2 linked regions of the Lepisosteus oculatus genome follow. The protein of the gene in region 2 interacts with the protein of the main gene of each other region in a biochemical or structural test. Links are inferred from orthologs where the notes say so. Each region holds a gene or a part of one and is shown on either strand. Other genes may lie near its edges.

Region 1 (7,662 bases), on a different chromosome or scaffold from region 2:
CAACTAAAGGTTCAGTTTTGGGCAGCCCTCTTTCAAGCTGCTGTGAAGCATTCCTAATCATGCTAATGTATTGAGCTGCCATCATGGAACTGTATACAGTACTCCTCTCTCTTGTATTCCACTGTTAGGTCAACCTTTTTGAGAGCTTTCTCAAGTCCAATTATTTGTCCTATTACAGTTTACACCTTTTTTGTGAACATTTGTGGTACCTTTTATAACACAGTGCTAAATTCAGTAATGTATCTAACTTAAAAGAGCTGAGAAGGTGTGTTTTGCTTCAAATAAGTGTTTTCTAGAGATACCCTTTTTTCTTGACAATTTTGTTTCTTCCATCTCCAAGCTTACTCTCAAAACGGGTCCCGTCAATATTGATCTGAGAAAAAAACAACAACATTGTGAAATCTGAATTAAATTTATAGCTTCAGAAAAATAAAAAAAACATTAAATATAATTAAAGTAGATGTCTTTATCTAAGATTTGTAGCTCTTTATCTATTTCTGCTTTCAGTCACAGCTATTAAAAGTACCAGGTTTTAAAGCAGATGAATAATGCTGAATGCATCCCTTAGACTATGTCTTCTATTTGTCTGATGTGCTTAGCTATTGCAATTTTAACCACAGTTTTTTTTTTTAAATTAGTAGTCTTTTTAAAAATTCTTCATAAATCCATTTTAACTTAGTGGACCTACTTGCATTTCTCACAGAGGAGGATGTGAGACATGATTCGTGTACAGAAAAAAAAAATTAAAAAGACATCTTACAAAGGTAATCAATGCTTGCAACTAGAAGATACAAAGGAGGTGATTTCATGATATGTTAGGAAAAAAACACCTTCCTTCATAATCCTTATTTTGCACATTACCAGATATAAAATATTTTTCAAGAAAGATTGAAAAAACATTAAATAAAGGATCTAAATGCTGCATCTACAGTAACAGTAATCTGTCAGAATTATTCTAATTTTTCACAACTTAAATCAATGCTCATTTCATAACACTTATTTAGCAAATGTCCCTTTCACGGCACAGACCCTGTGGTTTTCAGAAATAATACCTAATGGCAAATACAGTATGTGCACATTTGTATGGTGAAAATGACTCTTTTTATAATTGGTTATAAGATGTACATCATGGCATTCCATTATATTTTCTGATGAGATGCAGAAGAAATGTATAATATAGCAAGAAACATATATAAACATGTGGGTATATTTATGTGCTAAGTGCAATATGATATGTACATAAGTTTGGTGTTGTTTAATGTTTCTGTAAAGAGTTGGTTGAGCTGAAGGTAGCCTGGTTCTGTGTGGTATTATTGATGTTTTCTTCATATTGTGTAAAGATTGTGTCAAAGCATTAAAAGATTATTTTTGGTGCATATACAGTACTGTACACAAGTATGAAATTTAAACTATATGGACTTATTTATGTAAACGTATAGAAGCAAAATTAAGTAGATGTATTGCAGAAAACTGAACAGTGTTGAAATGTAGATTGGGAACCCACAATGATTCATTGTGCATGAAATCCATAAAGACAATTACAGCTCCGATGGCACTACTGTCCTGCTGAATTCATTGTAGTGGTCTAGAGAACAGTGAAAACACTTTAGTACTGTAAGTGAATACTCAAACTTATCCTCCCCTTTCTCCTCACATCTCTTTATTTCAAAATTATAGTTTTAGTTATGGCATTTATTTACTTGACCATATTTTACACAATCTCTGATAAATATTAATTAAATATCAATTACATTTAATTTGACAAGTTTAGGAATTCAGATGAATATACTGTAGTAATAGTAATATGTTATTATTCATTATTTTTTACACCAAGCTACTTTTGTAATTAAACAGAGATGATATTATTTTTTGTATTTATTTCTTATTGTGAACATTATGGTTTATGTCTAAATATGGCTCACATCTGCCCTGTTTGAAATGAACTGCAGCTTTAGAGGGTAAAAATGCATCTTTAAAATCTGATTCACAACACAGACATCTGCATTCCTAAGAACACAAGACAGAGTGTGTGTTAAATACAAGTAATCAAATAATATGAAGTTACAGACAGATTCATAATTATTAACAACAACAGTATTTATTATTATTAAATTGTTTAACTTCAGCACTCAAACCCCTTTTCTTTTTTTGTTTTGCCAGCTCAAAATGCCTGTAGTCTTTTGTTTATCTGCAAATTCAGCATGGGGTGTAGCTATAAATTCTTACTAGCAATTAATTTCAGAAGCAAAATTATAGCCCTTAGAAATTAGCTGAACTGTTGGAGATTGTGTTTTTGAATCACAGTGTTTGAATTGCCCAATAGTATATCCTAATGGCAGTTAAGGATGCATGAGAATTCATTTTATGTTTAGGAATTCAAAATAAAGGTAGGAGATGGGACATGTAGGTTATTGCAAAAAGCGAAATATCTTTACTTGTTCCAGGAGGATGGGATTCAAATCCCTTGTAGTATAAAGATAAAATGTAGAGACAATTTCCCATTCGGACACGGTTGTGAGATACAATAGTTAGCAGACTGGTGTAGCTCCTGAATTTTCTGATCAGTAGGGAATAGAAGTCCTCTGAGAAAGCAGCAATATATTCCCTGCTGGTTGTGGAAATTCAGCGGTTGTCTGAGACAAAAAATATCAAGAGAGCACAGAAAATATGTGCAGGAAGGGTTTAATAACAAAGAACGAGGTCTGACTTAGTTTTATTTTGTTAAGGTTTTTTTTCTATGTATAATTCCTATTGTTTTGTTTTAGGAAACAGAGCAAATATGAACCCCTGATAACAGTTACTTGGTTGTGTTAGTCAGAGGTTCTTTGGTTTTAATTCTAATACCAAAAGACAAACTGGCTTGAGTTTGACTTTGTTGTACAGCTTGGGTAAGTTAATTAGCTTCTTCGCTTAAACCTAGAAGCCAGCATTCATTGGCATTAAATTAGTTTTACCAATTTACTGTCTTCCATGTTGTGAATGCCTTAATTAAACTTTACAGTGGACGGTTACATTGCTTTAATTAAGTCGTTTTTTTCCCTTTTTTTACTGCTAACTGGTCCTATTTTGTATTTCAATCAAAAGTCAGTCTAATCTGGAAATTTAACTGAGGCCTTAAAACCCATAGTTTTTTTTTCAACAGATTATGTGGCCACAAAGCTCTGATACAAAAGTTGTTTTTTAGTGCTCATAGCCCCCTACACCACAACTGGTAATTAGCAAGAGTTTATATTTTTTTCTTTCCTTATCAATGTTGATATGTTTGTATTTATTCATGTATATTAAACACGTGCACACTCAGACATACACAAATGATGTTCATCATGCATCATATTTCTCATTCACAATGGTTTGTGTTTGTCAAAGTCTGAAAGGTTTAATCTCTAAGCTTGACACCTTGAACTGATAAGCATTGTCTTAAAAAAGAGAATGTGCTGGTTCTTTAAAGCCCCCCTTTCTTTCTCTCACCCTGTTCCATCTCTCTGTCTTGTCTCTCTCTCTCAGGCACACTCTCTCTCTTTGTCTCTCTCCACCCACTCCACCTGCTCAGTTCCCCTCAGTATGTGCAGGCAGTGCCCTGTCCAGTTCCAATTGGCTAGGAAGCCACCAATCTGGCGTCTGGATGGGCCAGAGGGACTACATATGCAAAGCTTTACTTCATATTAATGAGCTCCAATCGTGGCTTTAAGTCCTTGATTAGAAGAGTGCGAGAGCTTTTGGTCCCAACTGGCTGTGCCTATAGGCTTGTCACCAGGAGAACATTTCTGTTAATTGCACTGCTCTGTCAGGAAAAACTTTGATTTATAGAGGGGGTTTGCTCAAATTATGGTTGCAGAGCGCACATGGATTCGGTAGAACTTTGCCTGCCAGAGTGTTTTTCCCTGCACTCCGAAGAAGAGTAGGTACATTTTGATTTTTATTCTTCTCTTTGGAAATTATGCCTAATGTTTTACCTATAGACAGTTTTGTTTGTCTTAAATTCTTGCTGTTGCATGTGTACTTTTGTTTTCTGTGTTGTGTTGTGAGCTATATCTGTCTGTCTTGTGTTGTTGACTGACAATGTGCTTCCCTGTAGTGTGTACTTACTGCTCAATACATAGCACAGCTACCTGTCAGGCAAAGTACTGAAACAGTAGCATTGCCTTGTACCTCTGGAAGAAAAAGTGAGCACATTCTTTTTACCATTTAAACCTCACAGATTTCTATAAAAGGCAAATATTTTTTCAACTTAATTTATACTCTGTGTTTTATCTGTTATTAATTTTTATTGATACCATGTCCTTGAGATTTTTTAAAAGAGAGAGCACTTAGAAAAAAAGGTATACTCCAATACCATAAAAAGCTTGAATTTCACAGACAAGCTGCTTACAGTGTGGCCTGGTTCAGCTATTAACAGTGCCACATATTTACATTATTGAGAGCTATGGGGTTATGGTGTATGTTGGTGGGGGGCAGGGGGGGGGGGGGGGGGCAGGTGCTGAATCGAGCCTGCATAGTTCATATAGAGAAACTAGGTTTTCCAAAGTAAATGTATTTTGTTTTTGTCAGATTGATACAATTTCAATTTTAATTACTTGTTTGATGCTTATTTTGTGTTTAATGGAAAAAAATCATAAACTTTGCATTTACTTGTATACATTTTTTATCATAGGTGTCAGCCACTTGTAATTGTTTTCATTCAACAGCTGTATTTGCAGCATTAAGTGAATTGAAATAATAATCGCGTTTGTGCTCAAAGAATTGACAAATAAACAACAAACAGCTAATATGGATAAGTCTGACTGACACTGCTGGGTGTGCTTGCAATTGCCTAGATGTTTGCAAACTGTCATGGGTTCATATAAACCTGATATCTTAAAAACACACACTGGAAACATAACATTGGTCTCTCTTTAAGAAAAGAAACACCAAGACTATTAACCCCTGCCCTTAGTTACATTAAAACACCGATAAGACCATAAAAGTATTGTTCCACCCTTAGTCCATTTAGAGATTAGAAAGAAATAAAGTGTGCCGGAACTGCTGTGTTACAGGTATGCTGCCATAAAGTCCTACCAGCTTTATCCCAGTCTTTTAGACAGTTAGATTAAGGCAATTAACATTAGATATTGAGGTGCACTTGAAGCACTTTCAGAACTGTAAAATAAACACTAGCTTTAATGTGTAACTTTCAAAAATGTGATTGTATTCATTACTACATTATTCTAGCTTCTCAGTAGAATAATTGTCCTCTGTCTGACTTCTCATTCTTTAGGTCTTTAGGAATTAAAATGCTACATCTATGGATACACTTAAGATAACACCAGCATTGAAAAATAAATATGCATTTATAGAAAATGCATTGATTAATCTAATAAGTTCTGTTTTCCCATTTTCTTTTTTATTATTAAGCTCTTTTTCTGATTTTACCTTCTTATGGCTAATTTACATGTTTGGTCTTCATAAGCTTCTTGATGTATATGCTTTTATATTGAATTTGTACCTATACCTTTTTTATGATCTAAGATTTAATGTCTTCTCACTACTTCTTATTTTTGAAGTAAATCAATGTATAATAATATAGTAATGTATAATAATTAGTGTTAAGTTCAATAATATATGGATATATTGGGATACATTGATATATGATATATACATTGAATAATAATGTAATTATTGCACTTCTTTCCTGAGATTTGTTTTTTTATGAAACTTTTATTGTTCACCACTTTATTCAGATTAGCACAAACATAAGAATTAACGTAGAATGGGGTTCATATGTGGAAAGCCATCCTGTATTTATGTACAAGTGTAAATTCATTTTTTAAGGTTGAGGTTTTCCATTTCAATAATTATATAAATAATTATGCAGACTTAATTTCTGTAATTTAGAACAAATGTGAGATAACATTAAAATGCACATTTTTGCTAAAATTTTACATTTTGTCACCAAGTTCAAATGATTTCAACAATGATTGCTACATTTACTGTAAAATGTCGATTTATTTTAATATTAATTCTTAGTTTGCAATATTTATGATAAGATTATAATTACTGTTTTTGTTTAAATGCATGGAATATATAGAAACATTAAATCTAAATATAGCCTTTACAAAATTGAATTGCTGTACAAAAAATATATATAACGTATGGTGGAAATAGCAGCAGTGTATTTTAGGGTTGTTATATTACTTTAAAATCATGTAAGTAACATGATAAATCCTTATTAATTGTTTTTTTTTCATATTTTGTAAATTTTCTACAATATTATAAAATTTACCTACAACGTTTATTTCAAACAAAAATATCATTTGAAAGCATAAACATGTGGAGTCTGTCTGTCCAATCCAGAATATACTATTTAATTTAAAAATGCAGTGGAAAGAAAAAAAATAGCTAAATAAAGGTAGAACAAACCTATTCCTCATTGTTATGTTATAATCAATTATATAATCCAAATAGATAGCATCTATGTTTTGTTAGCGTATTGAAACACTTGGTGCTGTTTGAAAAAGATTCATCATTTTCAGCCACACAGATAATTCCCCTCTAATAATTAAACATTATTTCTCGTGTCATGCCTCTGTAGCTAAGGAAAGGTCTTGATAGCCTTTCACTTAAACTTTTCCTGAAAAGAAAGTATGCATTTATTTTTTCCTTTGCTGGAGAGTGAGAATTAGCAAGTAAAGCATAATCGTCTGATTCAGTTCCTTCACTGCTAATAAAATCATTTGTTTAATAATAGTAATACCTCTTAAATTATGTTAAAATTAATCTACCTCATTTATAATGTTAAAATCAGTCTTCTCACACTTGCTGTCTTACGGTGCGTATACCTTAAATACTGTATTTTGACCGATGCATTTCCCCGTTGTAAAATGTCTAGCTCACTGCCTTCATCAGACTGCTGTCTGACTGTTCATTGTCTTTATTGCGTCCTGCTTATTTGAATGTGTGTTGCCACTTCCCCTTATTCCAAGGAGTCTGGAGCATTCCAAGGGTAATTAACCAGAGTTAAAAGCAAAAACCCTTGTGAGTAGCCAGTCATCCTGGTGGTAGGCTGTATTTTTCTCCTTTTGTTTAGGAGGTGCAATAACTACACTCCCCCCAACCGCTTTAAAAAAAATGACCTGGCTGTCAGTGTAAAAGATTTATATTTAATCTATTACCATTGGGTATTCACACATATATCTGATTTTAGGACAACTTTTTAAAAAAACAGTACAAAATAAATTGCCCAGATGAGATGTCTGTGCCATAAATGAAGGAGCACATGCAGTAATTATGCCGTACCATATTGGAGTGGTGACAGAATTGGTACATGTGAAAGGGAGACTTGCTACTGTTTTATTCCTCACCTTTAAGTGAAATAAGATCTGCTTTCACTTTCTAACCTGCACTTCCTCCTCTATTGTTCAGAATTAAAGGAATGTTGTCTGTTTAAGGACAGTTCCTTTGGAATGTCAGAATAGTTAGGAAAACAAGTTGCAAGTAAGGAAAGTACAAATTAGGTTTTTAGTTACTGGAATAATTAGTAAATCACTTCAGTAAATTACATTCATATATATAACTCCAATGCAAGTACAGCTTGTTATACTATTAAGCCTTCTGTAGATACTACTAAGATTTAGTTTAGTTTTTTCTTTATTACATATATAAAAAACAGTGCAATATATAAGTACA
Region 2 (7,662 bases):
TTTTCAGTGCATTGTCCTGGCACTACTTACCAGTCAGCTGACAGTGAGACAGACCTGTTTATTCCGACGGTATGTTGCACAGTTAATCCAGTCAGTGTGCAGAGTCCTGTGATAACCTGGATGTCACTTGGTAAACAGGTCTGTGTGCTTTCTGCACTGAGGTTGGCTTCATTGATTTCTCCCACCTGTTTTGTATGAAGCACTGGTCAAAGTCCATGCTATATTTAGCACAAATCAGGCAGGCTTAAAGTTAGAAAGCATTCTGTTCAATTGCCTGCTTTCCACCAATGGACATTTGTGATATGTGCCTCCTAAAACTTCTTAATGTACCTGATAACATAGCCACATTAGCTTAAAATTATTATTCTAGGTAAAGGCATAAATAGAGTCACTACATCAGCAATAATATACTCACATTGAGTTAATAGAACTACCAAATAACTTCATATTTAATAAAATATAGAAAACAATTTTATGACAAGAGCCTCTCGTCTCCATCCAAGATGACTACTTCCCTATGCAGTAGCTGATTTTGTCACATATTGATATTCAATCCATTAATCTTCAAGATATCAGAGACGTATGCAACAAAAAACAATGGACCTAATGGTAAGCTACTGTGATGCATTCTGTAGTTGCCCACTTCATATTCTACTGTAAATGTACAGGTGTTTTTTCTTGATGACATGTTAGTTTATTCTGTCTTGGTAAAAGAAAGATATGCTGGTTAAGGTTGGAATGAAATCTTCACCAGATATACTGTACATATTAATAGCTGTAGTATTGGAGAGTTAGTTAATGCTCCTAAAAATAATATCATTGCGTGTGACCAATGTCAGAAAAATAAATGTATTTTTGTTCCCCAAAAGTAAAAAGTGACTCTAAGAAACAATGACCGTGGTAATGAGTTCTTGTGTTTTTTTTAATATGCTGTATTAAAAAATGTGCTGTATTTAATGTGCTGTAGTTGGACAACATCAGGATACAGAGAACAAAGTAATTACAGTAAAATCAATGTACACGAATGTTAGCAAGTGAATTTAAATATCCTTTTTTAAATGTTTTGGTTTTCAGAACAACATATCTGCATTTTCCCAGATGGAATGGAACACTGGTGAAAGGCCACTATGTTGCTGCAATTCCTGAGTTTTGTTCCTCCCCAATAAATCAATTGCCTTATCAGGAGAAGAGCTCTGTGCTAGGCACGACTGAGATTAAAAAAGGGATACTTTACTGCTTTGTCTCTGATTCAGAGCCTTCCTTCTGGGATGATGGCTGTTTGCATTAGCTCACTTTTATTGACTATACCATCAGGAAATGGTAATCTGATTATGAATGGCATTCAGTCAGGAGTGCCCAGCAGGAGAATTGGCGCCAGGAGTTGTGCGTTAATCCACAGGTGCAGCATTGTTGGAAAACCAAGGGAGGGGACAAGAGAATAATTCTTTATTTCTGTTGGTCTCACTCTTCACCAACTGAACCTCCTAAAACGTTCCGAAGACAGCAATGATTTTATGCCCAAAATGTGCATAATGTAATTGCATTAATAACTATGCTGAAAAGAGAAGAAAGAAAACACAACGTTTCGGCTGTGGAGCCTTCTTCGAGTGTCACACCCAAGTGAGGCTCCACAGTTGCAACGTTGTGTTTTCTTTCTTCTCTTTTCAGCGTGGAATAAACCTATCACTTGTTCCTTTGCAGCCTACGCATGGTGACGCAGCTGCCCACCTGAACTACTTCAATAACTGCTTCACACTCAACCTTGATGCAGTTTTTTTAATGGAGTTTTCATTTTTAAAATACAAAAGAAAAAGAATATACAAAAAGAAAGAAAGATCCCACACTAAGAGAAAATAGTAAGCAGGCCAATGTGCCATGTTTTTCAGACAAGAAAAATCATCTGAACGTGCTGTCTTAGTTCTTCAATTAGAAACAAGTAATCTGGCTGTAATCTAGTAACCTTACAGTACATCTTACAATAAGCCCGTTTCTCTGAACAAAAATCTAACAGTGGTTCTTTCAAGTGAAACCCATTCACCAAGACGTTTCACACCAAGGAAAATCTAAAATTCAACTGCTATGTAAGAATTGTGCTGTACTTCTCTTTCATTTTGAAAAAGACGCTCCGCTGGTTAGTACATCACACCAGTCAAGTGTGATTATTAATACAACACTCCTTAAAACTCCTTAGTGTATAAAGGTACGAGTTTTTAGAAAAACAAATTGCTTGGACTAGTTGAAACAGAATAATTCACCATTTATGAGTGTCAAAAAAGAAAATGTGAGGTCTCAGACTCAGTCAAGGGAAATGATGACGCAACCTTAATTTCTGCTGATTAGTTAAGCAGTTGAAAAATACAAATGACCTTCAGTTCAGTGTCTATTCCTGACCCAGATATAATATCTGCAAAATACAAGTCTATTAGTAATCAATGCCCTTTGTGGTTTGTATACTGGACTGCCTATACCAAGGTTCTGAACAGTTTATTTCACACATATATTGTACTGAATGTGTTGATATATGCTGTTCACAGAATGACTTGCATTGAACAGGGATGGAGGTACAAGCTTATTTTAAATTTAACAAGATGAATAAAAATAATGTATTTTATCAGATTAAAACGGGGGAGTTGTCAGTACCGAATATTATATAGTATAGCATTATTATTAACCTAATATAATTATTCTCATAACAAACTATATTTAGAATTTTCACTTCAGAATTTCCTGTTTTTCCTACAAAACACGTCGTTTGGTGTTCTATTATACAATTATAAATCCTTATAAATTTCTTACATGTTGTTAAGCTTTCAGAAGTAATCCATCTATCCATTTCAGGGTGATTCTTTTTCCTATTGATTTTTCTGTACATCACGAATATCTTGCATTTTCAACAGTATCACTTATGCATTGTAGCTCTTCAAAACGTCTACCTATCCCCTTGGGTTGAAGTCAATGGATGTGACGTCTCCTATTCTTGAAACCAAAATCTCTATCGCTCCGTATTTTATACTCGGAGGAAAACAGTTCCAGTTTTAAGTTCGTATTCAGCACCTTTTAAGGTTGCCGAAAAGGGTTTGAAATGAATAATTTCGCATCTGCGAGAGGCGATATACTACTCAAGGACGCATCAGACAGCTCTTTACATGCATAATATCTTAACTGTTTGTACTGGCTGGCTTCCAGCTCATTAGGTGTTAGCTGGCAGCGATAGTGGCCATATACTGTCTGCTTGATTACTCCCACAGTCCTTGGTAGCTTGGTACAGGCTGGGTTAATGGCTGAAGTAAATAAGATAAGTGACCTACTCCCAACCACCCCAACGTCGCCTTGTACCATCAACCCGCCGATCTTCATTGAGAAAACCTTATCTTCTCCACGTGGAGCGAACCTACCTGAGCCAAGCAGTCCAGGGTCATGTTGTTTTTCAGTGAGCAAATGTTATTCAGCTAGGGTCAAGGCTGGCTTGCTGTACCTTAGGGGGAAGCCTCTATAAATAGGTCTGGGACAGCAGAGCTGGAGACAGGCGTACGCACGGCGGACAGAGCTTTTCTGATCCAAAGCATTTAAGTAGCTGCGCGGCCAAGTGGTACAGCGCGCAAGGGCGATTTACAGGCTACCTGCGCGTTCACCGTACCAAATTCTTTTAAGCCTCGTTTAGTTGAAAAGATTAAGTAAACGATGTCTTGCCTCGAAGAGCCCAGCGACAGATGCCAGTGTTCCGGCTTCAGTGTTCGGCAGTCCAACGCCATCCTTTACAATATTCTGAGCCGCAAGGACAGCGACCACCTCGCCCACAGCTACATCACGTCTCCGCACAGCTGCCACTGCGAGATGCGGCGGACTGTTGGCCTCAAGAACCCGGACGAGACGTGCCAGGTAGCTTCCGGCGTGCTGGTCAAAACGATCCACTTCATGAAGAACCTGCCTTCCTTCTACCAGCTCCCACTCAAGGACCAGCTGGCTCTGCTGCAGAGCGGCTGGGCGCCGCTGTTCATCCTGGGGCTGGCGCAGGAAGGGGTGGCCTTCGACGTGACGGACACGCCGGCCGCCAGTTTGCTGAAGAGAATCCTGCTCAAGGACCAGGACCAGGACCAAACCCGGCTGGAGCACTCGGACAGGGCGCAGCCCACGCTGGACGCCGTACAGAAGCTGAAGTCTTGCGTCAATAAGTTCTGGAGCCTGGATATGAGTCCAAAAGAATACGCCTATTTGAAAGGAGCGATTCTTTTTAACCCCGGTAAGTATACTAGCGAATTATTATCACCGTGCTTATTGATCTTCTTGTACCAACGGGTTAAATAAAGTAATAAGTGTCAATTCCCGAATAGTTTTCTCACATAATTGTTGGTAGATGGATTAGTTAGTAAGGAATCCACACTAAGTATTTTAATTGGAATGTATGAGTGGATGAATGTCCTGCTTATTAATGTCTTTTAACGGACAAAATAGCTTGTTGACATGGCTTAAGAAAAGGCTGTTTCGAAAATTACACATTGATGGACATTGGCCCAAAGTTTCATCCTTCGTTTACTACTATAAATCTTCTGCCCAAAAGAGTCCCATTTCCCCCCCCCCAAAAAGGAAATTCTACCTAATTAGGTCTACAAGCCACATTCATTACTTGTCCACTGGGATAAAGTGCAGAATTAGCTAATTTCTCTTGAAGGGGGGAAAGTTAAAATAGGAAATAAAAAATGAGTATGGTAAAGTGGCACAGAATTACTTCGCAAGAATCGGACCAACGCGTTTGAAGTCGTTGTTTCCAAGCTGTCAAAAAGGCCACCGTTTCCTGAACACAATTCGTCAGGCAGCCCCCAGCGGGGAAAGTCTGTTATGAAGGGGTTTGTACCACATTTTCAAACTGCTGACACTGTGGGTATTACAGCACACGTCCGTAACGGGTGTTGGCATCATTTGCCATTACTTGGTCGCAAAAGGATAAACTACACATGTAAACCCTTCTGTTTCATACGTGTAGTAGTTAGGAGAAACACTTAATAGAGTTGATTGGTTTTCCCCCGCTTCGGGAGAGAGATTAGTGCGTTCTCGGTGGTATCTAACCAGCACAGTTTTGCAACCCCATAATTCGAATTAAGGCTGACTGCGTGTAGACGTTTAAAAACGCCTTCAATTCGGTTATTTTTTTCAGATGTCCCGGGCTTGAAAGCGTCTCTGTTCATCGAGAGCATGCAGCAGGAGGCCCAGAGAGCTCTTCGCGAGGTGCTGCTCCCTCTCCACCCGGGAGACCGCGGCCGCTTCGCCCGCATCCTCCTCACCGCCTCCGCGCTCAAGACCATCACGCCGAGCCTCATCACCGAGCTCTTTTTCAGACCTGTCATCGGCCAGGCGGACCTCTTAGAACTACTCGCCGAAATGCTTTTCGCCAGATAAACGAGGATACAGGAGCTCAGGTTGCTTAAACTCAACAACACCCGTCGCGGAGCCGCTGATTTGAGGGGACAGTGTTACAGAGAGCTTGGTGCACTCTACCTGGGAACACGCACGTCATGTCCTGCTATTAAAACTGTCATGTTATGGTCTAAAACTTGGGCAAAAAGGTCCGCTAAAATCATGCGAAGTGAGCAAAGAGACATTCTCGCCTTGCGAGTTTCAAACGGCGACGATACGCAGAAAATCGTTTGAGAGGAACAGCCTGGCTGTATTACAGAGGGGACTCACTACTCGATCATTTCGGTGTGTGAATTTGGCGTATCTCTCATACGCTGTGCCAAGCTTTCGATGTTATGATTTAGATATAGATCTTTCAGCTGAAAGGGCAAACCTGGTTTTGTTGGCTTAACAGAATCTTCTTGGAGAAAAACGTCACTTTATTGATCCGAATCACTATTTTATGTTTTTTTTTTTAAAAAACTCCTTTAACACGTCCGTAAAAAATCCGTGTGCATGAGTGTATGTGAATAAATTATATATTTTTTAAAAAAAGTTTCTGTAACACGTCATGAAAAACGTGTTTAATAAAAATGTGTTGATACCCCTTTGTCTTTTTATAGCGGCAAAAAAAAAAAAGTGAACACGGCCGATTCAAAAGAGTCGGATTGGAGAACCATACAAAATCTGGACTAAAGCGAAATTTGAATGAGCCCGAAAGAAAAATGCGATGACTTATCTGAACAACCTCTCTCTACCTGTCGAGGAATTCAATTTCCGCCGTGAACGGTCGTTTCGAATAAATCAAGGGTGGTGACGCGATTTCACACCCCGCCGTTCAGTATCCGGAAGGTTTTGGTTCAACAATGCCACCAAAACAGATGATTTTTTTTAGAAATATCGCGGTATAGACTATTTCTGGCGAGTATGATGATTTGTACTGTTGACTTTGAGGGTGATGGGAGAGGCCCATTGCCAGAGACGGCTCTTGGGCAATACCACCGCAACCAAGCAAGGCGCGGGGCTGGGCCCGTAGATACCGGTTCCTTGTGCTTGTCGCCTGGTGACAGGAAGTCCTCTGCCCCGGTGTTCCGCGCAGTAAAGCAGAGGTCAATGACACGCAGGTTAAGGAGCAGGTTCAGGTACGCTCCTTCTCCTCCCTCTGTAAGGCGGGCGTTTGTGTGCGATTCCTTGCCGTCACCGTCGGAGCTCCAAGTGCGGGGGGTTTGGGGGAGAAAAACAGAATGTAGAGCGGGATTTGAGCTGGGGAAAGACTTCTCCATCTCTTAGATAACATTCATCTGTCATGCGGTGTATCTGGGCAGCAAAGGAAGAAGTAAAAAGTTGAAAGACGAAACGCGGCGTTTGGGCTGTCGAGAATTCTTCAGGTGTGTGCGTGTGCGGGAGAGAGTTTTTAGAAATATGCGGGGAATTAAGTTTGACTCGTTCCCTCTGTAGCGTACACACGCTGACGCCACTGCCCATCGGCCCATCTGAGCAAAAAAAAAATACGTTACAGGGCCAGCGTAATTAATACATGATGGGCTACGTCAGTGAAACAAGGTTTTATTACCTCCAATAAAAACGATACATTGCTAAGATCCGAGAGTCCAAGTAAACAACGGTAACCTTCCCCCGGACAGACAGGGCGGCGGTTCAATATGCGCTGCTCTCCCTTAAATCGTCATCAAATAACAATAAACCAATTTACACTTCAGTGCTACAGTAATATAGGCAGTTTTTTTTTTATCAGTGCTCGATGCTGAATGCTCGATTCATACATGCATTTATAAGACCAAGGCTTGATTTCTGCAGCTCTTTACTCTATGGGCTCCCTCACACTCTCCTCAGTCAATTCCAATGTGTCCAACACCCTACAGCTGGACTTGTAACCCACACCAGACCCTGGCAGCACGTCACTCCTACACGTGAGTCTCTACAGGGGTTGCCAGTAAAGTCACGTATTCAATATAAGATCTGGTTAGTGACCCTTAAAGCTCTTAATAACCCGCCTCCCTCCCATGTCTCTGAACTGCTCCATGTTTACACGCTCTCCTGTAGGATCGTCAGCTGAGGCCCGTCCTTTGATCACTGGATCGGGGACTAAATCTCGGACTTATGGTGACCGTGCTCTTCCACCGCCTCTTCCAGACAAACTTAGGTCCTTGACACTTATTTTGCTGGTTTAAACTCACCTTTTCACTCGAGCCTATATCTTGTTTCATTGTTTTTAACTTTGTATTGTATCCCCCCCCCACACACACACAATGT

What was found.
Region 1: the proteins of nuclear receptor subfamily 0 group B member 2 (region 2) and esrrga form a complex in vitro, tested with the Homo sapiens proteins (2 studies listed by BioGRID). The link is inferred for Lepisosteus oculatus from reciprocal best matches to the Homo sapiens genes NR0B2 and ESRRG.

What each region holds. Positions count from the first base shown.
Region 1 is NC_090697.1:62,011,098-62,018,759, reverse strand, and holds the start of esrrga (estrogen-related receptor gamma a), read left to right. Parts: upstream 1-3,683; 5' UTR 3,684-3,842; coding exon 3,843-3,898; exon of another isoform or gene 3,899-3,902; intron 3,903-7,662. UniProt on the Homo sapiens protein: Orphan receptor that acts as a transcription activator in the absence of bound ligand. Binds specifically to an estrogen response element and activates reporter genes controlled by estrogen response elements.
Region 2 is NC_090706.1:7,321,263-7,328,924, forward strand, and holds nuclear receptor subfamily 0 group B member 2, read left to right. Parts: upstream 1-3,191; 5' UTR 3,192-3,681; coding exon 3,682-4,240; intron 4,241-5,152; coding exon 5,153-5,394; 3' UTR 5,395-5,865; downstream 5,866-7,662. UniProt on the Homo sapiens protein: Transcriptional regulator that acts as a negative regulator of receptor-dependent signaling pathways. Specifically inhibits transactivation of the nuclear receptor with which it interacts.